2 linked regions of the Rattus norvegicus genome follow. The protein of the gene in region 2 purifies or fractionates together with the protein of the main gene of each other region. This does not show direct contact. Links are inferred from orthologs where the notes say so. Each region holds a gene or a part of one and is shown on either strand. Other genes may lie near its edges. The genes, in order: Fbxw11 and Cdc25b.

Region 1 (4,301 bases), on a different chromosome or scaffold from region 2:
ACAGGTGTAGTGTACTGGTATTCCACAACCAACACGAAGTCATTCTCAAAGTAGTATTTTAAAATATAACACAGTAGGGTATGTTGACTATAATTGAAACTGATCATAGTGAGAAACAGGTACCAACGATTTGGAAAAACTGTAGCTGCACACCTTATAAATGACTCAAGCAACGAGCCATACGCATAGACAGTAAATCAGATCCAGCAATGCAGGCCTCGGCACTACAATCTTTAGGGGGTTTGAGACTGACTTTTGGTTGGTTGTGGTTTTTTTGTTTGTTTGGTCTTTGTTTTGGTTGGTTTGGGGGATTTCATTTATTTGTTTAGGTTTTGAGAGACAGGGTTTCTCTGTGTAGTTCTGGTTGTCCTGGAACTCACTTTGTAGACCAGGCTGACTAACTCACAGAGATTCACCTGTCTCTGCTTCCTGAGAACTGGGATTAAAAGCATGTGCCACCATGCCTGGCACATTTTTTTATTACATTTCTAAGAATCCTACATTAAATCCCTTTTATGTCTTCATTAGGTGACATCTCTTCAATGTAAGGGCAAACAATATCACACAGTCTAACCCAGCCATGAGGATTTTATGGACACTAAGGAAGCATGTGCTCTACCACTAAGGTGCACCCCAGCACCTTAACAGTTACTCAAAACAAAACAGTTATAAGCTTAGAAAACCAGTAAGTGTGGGCCAGAATATTTCTTTAGTCATATGCTAAAAGACCATGCCTGAGGTTAATTACACTGTATTTCTTCTAACTCTCCTGAAAAAGAAGACATTTTGGTTGTTTTAAGTGAATATGTTTCATATGAAGCACTGGTCATTATGAAAGCAGATATACTGTTTTGTCTTTAAGAAGATGGAACATGTATCTTCATACATGAAGATACTTTGACACTTTGCCAAAAAAGAGGTCATCAGGATGGCTCAACCAAAGACACGTGATCATACATGCAGAACGAAATGAGTTCAAGTCCCAGAACCCAGGTAAAAGCAGAAGAGAATCTTTACAACATGGTCCTCTGACCTCCACAGGCCCACTGTGGTGCACGTGTGAATTCACATTAATACATAAGGCACGTTTTAAAGACATTTTGTCAAAATAACGGACTACTAAAGTTTCCCAAACTGTTACAACCGACAATTGGATGCTGAAAAAGAAAAAAGGTCCTCAGAACCTGAAGATAAAGTGACAGAATCCCTGTGAACACACACACACACACACACACACACACACACACACACACACCCCAGAAACTTCCAGGTTTGATTTTTCAACCATCCAGTTCTGCACATTGTGCTGAGTCCAGCAGACATGAGACTCTGTAGTTATGCTACTATTACTTCCATTTTAAACGTGTACCTTAGCTCCCTGGACAACATCATCCACAAAAACCATGGGCTATCCAACAGACTTTCAGTATCACCATTTATTATTTATAGCACTAAATGGGGGAAGTGGCTCTGATGTCACCAACCCTACCCAGTGGAATCACTGACTCAATAAGCATTTCACACTGGAGAAACTCTGACGAGGAAAACACATTGCTAAGTTCAGTAGATCGTTCACCTTTCCTCAGTACTGTGCGGCAGATACTAGTTGTTACGATATTAGTAGAGATACAAAGAAACTGTCAAGGTTTTCACAGGAAGAAGCCTTTCTTATGTCCCCAACTCTCCTGGGCCCAGTTTGATTTCCCTCACGTTCAAACTGGCAGGTACTACCAGCCATACTTTATTTCTTCCACCAATAAGCAAATCCTTCACTTTCCCAGCCATTCACTCACAGCCCTGTTTCCAAAAACCTTTCTAGCACCAAGTCTGAGGTCAGAAATGGGTTAGGGGTGTCCGGGAAGACCTGACCAACCTGGCTACCAAGGGTTTCTAACAGTAAAGGGATCGCTGCTTCTCGGTGGGTCAAGAACACCCCCACACACACACCGTCCCGCTTTTTATTATTAAAAGAAAAGAGGGTGGCAGTGATGAAGGCGACCTCTTCTCCCTCCCCTCTCATTTCCCAAATGATAAAGTTATGGTTTTCCTTTTCTGGGGGATGGAATTCTGAGTACCTAGGGCCCTGCTATACAAACATCCTTCACGGCAGGGTAGGAAACCCTTTGTCCAAGAAGCCTGACACCGCAGGGGCTCGGAAAAGAGGCCCCTTATCCCCTACAGCCTCAGACTCGTGGGCATGCCCAACATCCCAGTCCTGAAGGGCCTATCCTGGCATCCACACAGCGGTAGCTTGGGGTGAGGGTGCTGAGACCCACCGCCACCCCACCCCCTAAGCCTAGGTTACGGAGGCCGAAGCGGCTCCAACTGGTCTCGGACAACCTCCCACCACCATCACCCTCGGCTTGAGCGGGGCTGGGAAGCGCGATGCAGGCCTGGCAGAGGAATCCAGGGAAGGGAAAAAGAAATCCCCTTCTAAAAAGACAGTGTGATGGCAAGGCGAGAGTGAGCGGTGGCTCCGGCAGGAGCGAGGCAGGGGCGCCCGAGACTGGTCGGAGCCCGGCAAGGAGCGGGGAGGGGGTGGGGGAGTTCGCGGGGAGCGGAGGCCGGGCCGGCCCAAGAGCGCGAGGCGTCAGCAGCGAGCCGTAGCAGGGGGCCGGCCGGGCCCAGGCGACGGGGAACGAGGGCTGGCCTGGCGCGGACGCCGAGGTGGGCAGGCCCCCGGGCCGCCGGCCGGCCGGAAGAACTGAAGGCCAGCGGGCCGCACTCACCATGAGCTCGATGGTCTTGTCTTCAATCACCGAGTCGGGCTCCATGGCGGCCCCGGCGGCCCCGCCTCGCTCTCTCCGCTCAGCAGCGAACGGCCCGGGCGGAGGAGGCGGTGGCAGCGGCGGCGGCGGAGGCAGCTCTGGCACCCACTCTAGCTGCCAGCCCGCCCGGGCCGCCGGCAGCTCCGCCCTCCCCCTCGGCGGACGCAGGACGCACGGCGAAGACTACAACTCCCAACAACCGCGGCGGATCGCTAAGCCTTATGGGAACAAGAAGCCGTCGGGCCACTCTGCCAGGGTTCCGCCACGGGAGAGAGCACCTAGGGGAGGGCAGGGCTGGGAGTGCGGGGACATGCAGATCTGGAGTATCTAGGACTTGCTCGGGATAGGGCCTCGCGAGCGCCGCGACTACTTGTCCCAGAAATCCTCGCGCGCGCGGTCTCCTTCCGGTTGGTCGTTCCAGACTTCCTGGCAGCGGGTGGCTGCCCGGACCCGGACGGAAACTCCGAGGCAACTCCTCACTTGTCTGAGATCTTTGCGGTGCGACCGATTTCCGCACATGCGCAGTAGTTGTCTGCAGTGCCCACTGGTCGTCTAGGTGCTTGCGCGGCCGCCCGGTGTATTACACTTGGTAGGGACAGATGGTGGAGACAGGTGGGTCCGAGGTTGCACCAGGAGGTGTGGGAGGGGTCTGTGAGCCCGAAGATCCAACCAAGGGAAGATGGACATCTCAAGAGGAAAAGTTTGGAGGCTTGAGTTGGGAAACAGATGTATGGAGAGCTGCTACACTGGAAGTAGCTGAGCCATGAGAAAGAAGCTGATCATTTTGAAGACATTTTTAAGCATTCCGTTGCTACTAGTACTGCCCTAAGCTCTGGAAATGACAGGCGAGACCTCTGTTCTCGTGAAGCTTAATTCTAATGGGAAGACAGCAGACATTCACCAAGAGTTAGAAATGCTGTGAAGAAACACATCTAGAGACTTCCAGTGAACTCTTCCTCTTAACTCTGTGTGCCCTCCAAGTTGTCAGTACCCTCAAACCAAAAACCCCCAGGAATACGCTGTAGTTAAACAAGGTGGGTTTATTTTAGCTGAACTAGAAGAGAACATGCACCACGATGAATCATGGACGTCTCAGTAAGAGACATTAGGTAATGTAGAAAAGGATTTGAAGGGGCTCTGGAGCGCATACTGCCAGGAAGTGGGGGTAATAAGGTTGGACACCTTATCTATGGGAAGTTATATTAGATTGAAACTAATCCAGTAATTGATGACAGCCTCTTGTAGCCGTGTGTCAGGGGCTTAGACAATGTTCATGTTTTATCTGTGTTCACGAGTAATTATGGAGTGGTCTTGTTTTTGTCTTGATCCATAAGATAAGGCCGTTCTGTGGCCTTGTCTAATGTTAATGGTCTGTGAAGTTGTTTATGTTTTACTGGAGATCTGGCTGTAGAAACCAAGCTCTGGCTATTATCGTGTATCTCGAGGGCCTGGCTCATTGTACCCAACCCACTTCACAGTAGCAGTGACTTGAGAAGCTTTCCTGCTTCTCAAGTGTGTTTCAATTCTTTGCCC
Region 2 (3,809 bases):
TTAGTTCCGCCCTCTGGGGGGCTGGGCTGCTCACCTGGGGTGTGTTTGGGCTGCAGATGCTCTGGGTGTCCTCTCCTGGGCAAAGGTGCAGCAGTGGGTAGTGTGCAGCTGGTTGTTTAGGTGGCAGGGGAAGGAGGTCTCAACCAAACAGCACTGAGAGGCAGTCTCTTCCCTCACCCTGGCCTCCGTCTGCCTTACTTTCCAGAAGGCCCGGGTCTTCCGCTCAAAGTCCCTGTGTCACGAGATTGAGAGCATCCTGGACAGTGACCACCGTGGCCTGATTGGAGATTACTCTAAGGTAGCATTCTAGGGCTTCAGGAGGCTTCTTTCACCCGCTCTGGAGCCCTAATGCAGGACCCATCTGTCCCCAGAGGTCCCCCCTTCCCTCTGTGTCTTTTCATTCTTGTTCTCATGCAGACTCTTCCCTCTGGGTCCCCTTCCGATGCCACCTCAAATCTGTCCAGGCATCTCATCCTCGAAAAACATTTCCAAATCAATCTCTGGTATGCAATCTCCTGCCTCAGCCTTCGGCTTTCAAACCCAAGAGCAGGAAGCAAGAAGGTCTAGGGCTTTTCCTTCCTCTTTTACCCTCAGAAGGTTGTTCCCTGGGTGCAGGCCCCCAGAGGTTTCACTCAGCTGAATCTGAAGGCTGAGGCCGGTGTTGCCTCTGTCCTTCCAGTCTCTGTGTCTCAATGTGTTTCCCTGACTCTGCCTCATCCCTCCCTTCAGGCCTTCCTCCTGCAGACTGTGGATGGCAAACACCAAGACCTCAAGTACATCTCACCAGAAACTGTAAGCAGGGTTGAGCCACTCTCCAGGTGCATTGGGGACCACCTTCTCTTGGCTCTTGTCTTCCTCTGGGGATGGGCTGCATGTATAGACTATCGGAAGAGAGAGGGAAAACCTTGACTACAGTCTCACCTGCTGGCACCAACCCTGATGGCCTCCTACAGATGGTGGCCCTGTTGACAGGCAAGTTCAGCAACATCGTGGAGAAGTTTGTAATTGTGGACTGCAGATACCCCTATGAGTATGAAGGCGGGCATATCAAGGTGAGACGGGTGCTGGTAAGGCCAGGCCCTCCATTCAGATTCCTTGCCGAGAAGATGAATAGCCTTCCATGGTGAATTTCCTATGGGGAGGATTTCTGCTCAGCAAGAGGTGGGGTTACTTACCTGGGAACTGAACAAGAAGGGCCATGGTGCAGGCTTCAGCTTGACCCCCAGATCCTCTGACAGAATGCTGTGAACTTGCCCCTGGAACCGGATGCCGAGACCTTTCTGCTGAAGCATCCCATCACGCCTTGTAACCTGGACAAGAGAATCATCCTCATTTTCCACTGTGAATTCTCATCTGAGCGTGGACCACGGATGTGAGTCCTAGCTCTGTCCCATCCTTGTGGTCAGTGGCCAGCCGGGGCCCACCCTCGGCTTTCTTTGCCTGGTACTGAGTGCCAGAGCATCTTGCTGCATGTGATAGTTTAGAGCTGACCTCAGCTCTCCTGTTGTAGACGACGTATCTTACCATTGTCTTCCTTCCACCCACATCATCAGACCGTCTTCGGTCCGTTGCTGCATACCCACAAAACGTAGTGCCAAGTACAGTAGCATCCTTAAAATCTGAGGATACTGTGACACTCAAGCACTTGGAACCCTGCTACTGTGCTGACGACCACTGGGGTCCATTGCTTTCCTTCAGCCGTCTTTCCTCTGTCCCGGTGTTCATGGTTATTCTTCTGCCTCCTGGTCCAGGGTGGCCACCAGCTCCACCTGGCAGCTGTTAGCATCTGTCTCAGCGGACCAGAATCTCCTTCCCATTCCCTATACACGAACTTCACCCCTCTAGCACAGGGTTCCAGTTTTCTCATATGATTCTTGCTGGGCAATGGACCAGTCACGGAGCTTCACTTTTTTGATCTTTCCGATCCTCCCTTCCCATCTTCCCTTGAGTCCTTACCACCTCTGATCCAGGAGACCCTGGAGTATATGTGGTTTTTCTATGTTGCTGTACCCAGTGTCTGCTACCTAGTAACCAGTCTTGCCTAGCAGGTGACATGCCTGTGCTGAGAAGTCTGTGCACGTGGGGGCTCTTAATGCAGTGTGTACAGGGCATGGTCTCTTTCCGGCATGCGACCTGCCCTGAACCACCTCCCATGATACTCCAGGTGCCGCTTCATCAGGGAACGGGACCGTGCAGCTAACGACTATCCCAGCCTGTACTACCCTGAGATGTACATCCTCAAAGGCGGCTACAAGGAGTTCTTCCCGCAGCATCCGGTACCATGGGTGGGATGGTCACAGCTCTCCCATCGTGGACTGTAGGAACAGGACCCAACTAGGCTATAGGCCCTACCCATACCCCCACCCCCAGCCCCCAGAACTTACTCTTTCTCCCATACTGATGGACTCTTCTCATCTTCTCATCCCCTAGAACTTTTGTGAGCCCCAGGACTACCGACCCATGAACCATGCAGCTTTCCGGGATGAGCTGAGGAACTTCCGCCTCAAGACACGCAGCTGGGCTGGGGAACGGAGCAGGAGGGAACTCTGTAGCAGGCTGCAAGACCAGTGACGAGCCAGCCTCAGTCCTGCCACCATCCTTACCTCAGGAGGCTTGCGAGCCAGTGGGTCCCATGGGCCTATGCGGCCACCTACTTGCTAGAGGCCTCAGGTGCTATAGGGGGTTGGGGGGATGGTGTGGTGTCACATCTGTCTGTCCCTGTCCTCAATTTTCCTGTCTCACTCCACTAATTTTCTGTATCTTGGTACTGATCCCATCTTAAAGAGCTGAACCAATGGGTGAATACCAGCTAAGAGGAAGTCCTTTGTGTTCAATGAGAGCCCTTTTACAATCTCCTTTTTCCTTGTTTGTGTTGACTCCTTGTCTTACCCCTTCGCAGGGAGAGCCTCAGCCCTTTAAGATGAGCACAGTAGCTTCTTGGGTAGCCTGGATGCAGGACGCTACACTGCTGCACAGGGCTGTGTCTGCTCTCCTCTCCTGGCCTCTGCACAGATTCCTCCATTGGAAGCATAAGTGCTTACTTTTCCTGTTGTCGTCTTACCCATAGCTTTCATTTTCGTCTGTCTCACTTAGCGTGTCCCAGGACACACTGACAGCTGGGGAGGCTCCCTTGTACAGCTGGGGACTAGAGATTCAAATATCATGTACTCATTAGGCTTGGCTTTTGTTAGCCCACAAAGGGATCTTTTCCTTTAAGACCCCCAGAGCTAGAGCAAAGGCCTGATTCAGGAGCCTCTGGGAGCCCCATCCTCACTGCTGTGAACCCTAGAGCCTCGCTGGTCAGCACTTGTTGCTGGGCAATGAACCAGTCACTGAGCTTCACTTTTTGGTCCTTCTCTGTCCCTCCCTGTCCCTCTCTGTCCTTCTTTCCATATCTGGTCCTGAGTATGCATGGTTTTTCCGTGTTGCTGTACTAGTGACAGAGTCTAGGCCCTTTGTTGGATGGTCATGGATGCACAGTGCCTTGTACACATGTATGCACACAAATCGAGTGAAGTATTTTGGTAAGCATGATGGCCTATGGCAGGAGTGTGTGTGTGTGTGTGTGTGTGTGTGTGTGTGTGTGTGTGTGTGTACAAAGTCTTTACACTTAGCATTTGGAAATATTAAAGAAATATTGTCATAGGGGAGGGAGGAAGAAGCAACTTTTGGGTTCAGAATCTACATATGAAAAGGTCATGCTGGAAGGCCCCCAATGCATCCTCTGTTGGGGCCTTGGTTCAATAAAGCACTGAGCAAGTTGAATAATCTGTTCGTTTATGCGGAGCTGCTGACCAGGCCATAGCAGA

The links.
Region 1: the proteins of Cdc25b (region 2) and Fbxw11 purify together in Homo sapiens (affinity purification with mass spectrometry; 14 studies listed by BioGRID and IntAct, counting the BioPlex papers as one, with this or other methods). This does not show direct contact. The link is inferred for Rattus norvegicus from reciprocal best matches to the Homo sapiens genes CDC25B and FBXW11.

Annotation. Positions count from the first base shown.
Region 1 is NC_086028.1:17,735,814-17,740,114, reverse strand, and holds the start of Fbxw11 (F-box/WD repeat-containing protein 11), read right to left. Parts: upstream 2,919-4,301; 5' UTR 2,775-2,918; coding exon 2,730-2,774; intron 1-2,729.
Region 2 is NC_086021.1:138,866,523-138,870,331, forward strand, and holds the end of Cdc25b (M-phase inducer phosphatase 2), read left to right. Parts: intron 1-205; coding exon 206-298; intron 299-729; coding exon 730-792; intron 793-953; coding exon 954-1,052; intron 1,053-1,238; coding exon 1,239-1,372; intron 1,373-2,164; coding exon 2,165-2,276; intron 2,277-2,430; coding exon 2,431-2,571; 3' UTR 2,572-3,765; downstream 3,766-3,809. UniProt on the Homo sapiens protein: Tyrosine protein phosphatase which functions as a dosage-dependent inducer of mitotic progression. Directly dephosphorylates CDK1 and stimulates its kinase activity.